Linked DNA regions of Oryzias latipes. The protein of the gene in region 2 interacts with the protein of the main gene of each other region in a biochemical or structural test. Links are inferred from orthologs where the notes say so. Each region holds a gene or a part of one and is shown on either strand. Other genes may lie near its edges.

Region 1 (2,743 bases), on a different chromosome or scaffold from region 2:
GACCATGATCGAAGATTTATGTAAATATGGCTAAATGATTGTGTTTAAGGAGAAGATTGAGTCACAAGGTCTACAGCCAATCAGGATGCAGAGTGCAAAAAATGTTACGCTTCCCAGCTTGGCAAGCAGGGGGCGGAACACTACTAGAGCACCTATTTATTGATAGAAGATTCATAACACCCCAGGAACTTCAAGAGAAACATAGAACAAATAACTTCTTGGAATATCAGCAACTTAAATCTATTATTACTAAAAAGATAAATACAAAGACAATGACTGCGAAAGCTGAAACGCAATATAGCGAGAGACCAGTGTATACGTCAATCTTTTTTATATTGCAGATAGAAATGTTTTGTTGAGCTTGTAATTAGTCTCTGACTGCCGCAGCAAATGTTTCCACCGAGATATTTCTATTTCTATATATTTTTCTATTTTTATTTCTATTTTACCATATTTTTCTTCATGGAGAGTTATATGTTTTGACATTTTGTCTTTTTTTTCTACAGGGGCTTTTAAATTGTATGACCTCGACAATGACGGCTATATAACTCGTGATGAAATGCTAAACATCGTAGATGCCATATACCAAATGGTGGTAAGTTTAGAAACACATCCCCTCTGTTTACCTGCACTAGCATCACGGTTCACAGTGTAATGATGTGATGTCTAAGGGAAACACTGTGGAATTGCCAGAGGAGGAGAACACACCAGAAAAGCGAGTCGACCGCATTTTTGCAATGATGGACAAGGTTAGTATTGAACTAGACCTGACAAACAGCAAATTAAAGCAGAGAATTGCATCAATTGGTCCGACCTTTTAGAGGTCAGTATGAGCGCTTGACAGCATCAAGTGCAGTATTCATTGAATCACTTGTTTAAGAGTAATAGGACTGAGTGTAGCCTTACTGGCACCCTTGGGGCTCTAATACAGACACTGTTAAACTGAGAGCTCTCTGTAGCCATTTCAGCAGCATCACTTACACCACCTGCACTTATACTCATCTCCACTATTAGCCTTTACTGCCCACTCCATCTGCCCCCAGACTCTTTGCAGCTCTGGTAATAGATGAAACAGTATTGTCATATTAGATCCGCCTGTAGAGCTAACTCTACAGCCTGCACTATTTATTTGTCATTTTGTTAATGGCCAAGGCAGGATTTTTTGGGGAAAAAAAACAAATATATGAGAATAAAGTCGAAAAATGTTTAAAAAAAAAAGTCTAATTTTATGAAGATAAAGTCATAGCCTACAATGCTGAGAAAAAGCTTATTACTGTTCTGAAAAAAAAGTCAAATGATTTCTGAAAAAAGGCAGAATTATCAAGAGATGTCAACAATTTATGAGAATAAGGTAATTAATTTTACAAGGAAAAAGTCTTTTATTTTTGAAAATAAAATAACATTTTTAGCTTTTAAAATGTTTCAACACATTTCGAACATTACCCTTTTAATCAATGTTGCAAACAAATCAGAGAAATTGGATGGAGATCTGCTCCAAAAATCTTGCTGAATTTGCTTTACCTTTGTGTTGTAATAATAATGATAATAATAATACATTTTATTTCAAGCACCTTTCAGGTCACCCAAGGTCACTGTACAAGGTTTAAGAATAAGAAAAAAACAGAATAAAACATCAATTGTAAATATACAACTTTATTTTCATCAAATTCCAACTTTATTTTTGAAAAAGCACAACTTTTTCCGTGCAAAAATTATGACTTTTTAAATCTTAAAATTATTATTTTGTTCTTGAATAATGTAGATTTTTTTTAATTATTGCACAACTTTATTTTTGTCAAGTTTTGGCTTTTTTCTCAGAATGTATGACTATTCTCATGTATTTATGTTCTTTTATGGTTTCACCAAACACTTGTTTTATTTTAGAGATCAGCCAGTTCTACTTCAGACAGAAATCCCTTTTTGCCCTCTGCTGGCATATCTTTGCTAAACATTTTAATCTTGAGGGTCATTTTTGCTCCTCCTTGCAGAATGCAGATGGAAAGCTGACTCTGCAAGAGTTTCAGGAGGGCTCGAAGGCAGACCCCTCCATTGTTCAGGCCCTGTCTCTATATGATGGACTTGTGTAGGAATGGAAGGTGAGTGACAGATTGATGGACTGGTTCATGCATGCTTCTCATTGGGAATGCCATTTCCTAGTCACGCCTGAGTTCAGCTCTAATACACTCTAATGCTTTAAAAAAAAATCAGAAAAGATATTCAGTCCATGTGCTGAAACTCAGGGGTGTAAGCCAATTTCTGCTCTCAGTTTGTTCTTATGAATTATTCAGATGGCCCACTTGTTTTCTGGCAGCTTGATAGTCTTGCAGTGATGAATGAGGAGGGAGACATCCCTATCCTCTCACTGCCTGATGTCATATTCTGGCTGCTGACAATTGTTGCTAACATCCTGCTCAGCGTTTAATCAACTGTGAAGTGAGCTTATAAAGACATGTATCTTCAGTAAAGCTGTTTAGCCATTGTCTACCATGTTATAAGCACTCATGTATGATCACACTTTTCATCATGACTGTTTAAACTAATACAGTCTCTTCTCTTCTCAGATGGGACCATTTAGCATCCTCCTGCTGATAGTCAACAATCCAGCACCATCACCCTGCAGCAGGCGGAAACGCTTACTTAACTTTCATCACCAAGGGAGCGCACTATAAAGCTTTGTCGCATGGCCAAACGACACCTGTGCTGTAGCAGTTCATCCACATCGTTGTTGAGGACAGAGGACAAT
Region 2 (3,838 bases):
TATCTCCCTAATACAGGGGTTTGCAATACAGTTTGTATTAGCTCCACAATGCAACCATTATATTGTTTTAATCATACATTCTCTGTGATAAAGATGGATCATGATGTTCGGTTGCTGGGTATGGAATTGTTTTTTTCAACCTTAAAATTCAGCTGTTCATAAATGTGCAAATATGCACTATTTCTTCTATAGGTGCATGAACAATACACCCTACACTTTTAACATTGGAAACACATTTCTAAACATCTATCAACCAATGACAAATTCTTTCTGTTTTGTTTTTACAAATATTATTGCTTAAATAATTAAATAAAGAAATTAAAAAATGAATAGACAAATAAATAAAGAAATAAAATTCAAAATCATTCTATGATTTGTTGTAAATTTCAAATGGAAATGTTAAAGAATAAACGTATTTTTGTAAAAAACAAACACAAAAACAAAGGATGTTGTTTCATTTTTATTGTAGAAAGCTGCCCACACAGCTTGAGGTGCTTCTTGTGTGAGTCTGACCACAGTCTGCTTCAATGTTACTTCTATGCTTTACAAAGAATAATCATTTTGAAAACAAACCAACATGAGTTACAACTGTTCTTTATATACACACAGACAGATTGCAAAATAGCCCTTGTAGCTGGAGTAATTTGATGCTCCTGTTTTGTGGCAAAGCTCCAGTCTGACTTGAAGGGATACCAGCAGGGGTAGAAGAAGAAAGCTGTTTCATTTTTTCACCATTCATGTCTCACAGAAATATAGTCACAAAGGATAAATCGGCGAACGCATATGTTTTCTATGACGCTTAACATTGTCTTTTTTCACCACTTTTAAGTTTAATAATCTGAAAAATTGTCCTTTAGTGTCAATTCCTACAATTTTCATTGACTTAGCCTGACTGCATTTATCGCATGAAAAACTGAGACAATGAACTAAATGAAACGACAGAGGGTAGATCTTAAATTAAAGTTACTTTCTTTAACTACAATGCTTATTAGTCACTACATATGGATTATTTTAAGAAGTAAATGGCGTATAAATGGTAAATGGCGTATACTTGTATAGCGCCTTTCTTCCTACAAGGACAAAGCGCTTTACAGTCACAGACCCATTCACCCAGTCACACACACATTCACTCACACATTCACACACTGGTGGCGGCTCCGCTGCCAAACACAGGCGCCCGCCTACCACCAGAGGCAAGCTGGGGTTCAGTGTCTTGCCCAAGGACACTTCGACTCATGGGCGTGCAAGGCGGGAATCGAACCTGCAATCTTATGATCATGGGTCGACCGCCCTACCGCTGCACCATGGCCGCCCATGGTGCAGCGGTATTTGCATGCATTTTAAGAAAAATGCATTTTAATGCATTTTAAGAAGTATGTTTATATGCTGATGTTTGGTAATATCGCGCTTGAGGACAAAAAACGTCCCCCTTTTTTTGTTTTGTTTTATGAAATCCTCTGATTTAGACACTTTACCTTTACTGTTACTATATTCAGAAGCTTTGAAGAAGTGAAAATGGAAAATGTGTGAAAGGAGTGTACATTTCAAACATTCTTACCTGTGTTATTAAGCCCAAACAACAAGGGGCATGATATGGCAAAAGACATAACCCAGACCACAGAGATCATGACTGTGACTCTTCTCCTGGAACTATAGCGTGTGTTGTACAGCATTGGCATTGCCACTGCTGTGTATCTGAAAAGGGTAGAAAAAGAAACAGTTACAGTGTGTTGCGCACTGTGCCAGCCTCCTGGAAAGCCACGTGAACCATATTTACTGGAATTTACTCTACCTAACTCAACAAGGTAAAGGGATCAGGCAGAACAAAGTAAGACAAGAACTTTGTTAAATCTACTCATTCGTTCAGTATATTATCATATTCAGTTTCTTATATTTCTGTTTAATTGCATTAAATGAATCATAGGTCTGCCATTAGGCCTGTTGATGAACTTAATATTCTGTTTTATTGCTGATTATTTTTGAATAAAAAGGTAATATTATATATATAATGTGCACTATTGGTCAACAGAAAAATTGACAGTTAAAAGACTGCTTTGAGCCATTATACTGTTTTGCTTGGTCAATAAAAGCAGTTTTTTAACAGTAATCTGTGCTTTAATGTGTGCTCACATGGTTACATAAACAGACATATGGTACATTGATTTATCTTACATTAATCAACAAAGCCTTTATTTCTATATTTGACCGTGTGTTGGATGGCGTGCACACATTACTAATGTGGGGTTGTATGCTGTTTCTGTGTGCTCCTCTAGACGCAAAAGAAGGGACAAAGGGGGAAGTGGACTTGTGGTAAAAGCAAGGTTTTTAGGCCATGTCCTTATTTACATGGTGGCATCCGTATTGCGAAAAAATGGTAGCTTAATTAACTTCATTTTGCTGGAGCCAGAAGTAAGCCTTTTCTCGGGGGGACTCATACTCACTCAGTCCAGTTCTTATGTACAGTCAATGATTACAATTGTTATGTTAATTTAACTCTTTTACAGGCCAGTTGTTTCAGTTAAGTTGTTTTTATTTATTTTCTGGGTGGATTAAAAAAAACAACCTTGTCAAACATCCCTGTGTCGTTCTACCATTTGCCTGGTCCCCAACAGTCCTGTACTGCTTGGTCCCTCATACATACTTAAATGACAGGACAATAGTGTGCAAATACAATAAATCCGGCTAAAAGTTTTAACACACAATTTTTGCCATTACTCTGTTTAGGGAATGGAACTGTGTTCAGTTGAAATTCAACACAAATGGTTGTCCATGTTTATGGTTAGAATGAGTTCAATGTGATTACCTGCAAGGGTTTTCCTTTAATCATTATAAATTTTTCTTATTTAAAAAAATAATTTATTGTTATAGTAAATTAATAAATCAAAATCAGCATGGGGGAACAGTGAACACATGCAAAGAGAGGTGGCAGACTGAAGCAAATAAATTTCTCATAATCAGTGTCTGGAAGCTCGGCAATGTGCCAGGGACCTGAAGGCTCATCTTTATCCCATGGAGCTGTAGTTTGCAAGATATTGCAGATTTTACCCAAAGGTACAGCACTGTTTATTTACTAAATGTAGAATTATTTCATTTTCATTCTACCTTGTGGGAAATAATGCAGCTGTTCACTGTTCTTTGTAAGTTTGTGATACGATTTGCTCACAGTACTGAAGCTAATAACTAGTAATTGATGCTGAGATTCACAAACAATGCTGAGGTTATATCTGCTATTTTATTAAAATTGATAAACTGATTAAAATATGCAAAAGATGTTCATTGGAAACTGGATTTGGGTCAGCAGTGCAAAAACTTTTAGCGCCATATGTTTTAGTTCTGCTTATCAACTTGAAAGCATTTGTACATTTTTTTCTTAGTCTTAAAAGGCAGAATGTTATTTTCAAGTGACATTAGAGCACAAAGAGATTAGAAGCTAGGTCTATATCTAGAGGTAGCTATGTTTACTTAACCAAATGCAGTTTGTTTAACGCTGAGAGGATGGGTGTAAATTATACTTCAGCTGTTTACCTGATGGTTAAAGCGCTGCCAAAGATATATCATTAACCATGACATGTAAACACCTACAACATTGGCTGTCATTTTTCACTATATTTTAACTTTGAGGCTGTTCTGCATGCACCTCCATCATAGTCCATCTCGACTGACTGATGCATAGCTTCTTATGCACCAGTATATTACCTGCTCTGCTTTTGATCAATGGGAATTTTAGCCCAAAGCAACAAGGAACATGCATCCTGCGAGTGGACCAGAAATGATGCTTGTCATTACTGATCAGATCCGTTTTGATGTTGAACTAGCCCTCTGGAAACAGTTATGTGCT

What was found.
Region 1: the proteins of drd2 (region 2) and ncs1 form a complex in vitro, tested with the Homo sapiens proteins (2 studies listed by BioGRID, with this or other methods). The link is inferred for Oryzias latipes from reciprocal best matches to the Homo sapiens genes DRD2 and NCS1.

The regions. Positions count from the first base shown.
Region 1 is NC_019867.2:19,604,226-19,606,968, reverse strand, and holds part of ncs1 (neuronal calcium sensor 1), read left to right. Parts: intron 1-506; coding exon 507-595; intron 596-671; coding exon 672-749; intron 750-1,988; coding exon 1,989-2,087; 3' UTR 2,088-2,096; intron 2,097-2,561; 3' UTR 2,562-2,743. UniProt on the Homo sapiens protein: Neuronal calcium sensor, regulator of G protein-coupled receptor phosphorylation in a calcium dependent manner. Directly regulates GRK1 (RHOK), but not GRK2 to GRK5. Can substitute for calmodulin. Stimulates PI4KB kinase activity.
Region 2 is NC_019871.2:15,647,542-15,651,379, forward strand, and holds part of drd2 (D(2) dopamine receptor), read right to left. Parts: intron 1,696-3,838; coding exon 1,559-1,695; intron 1-1,558. UniProt on the Homo sapiens protein: Dopamine receptor whose activity is mediated by G proteins which inhibit adenylyl cyclase. Positively regulates postnatal regression of retinal hyaloid vessels via suppression of VEGFR2/KDR activity, downstream of OPN5.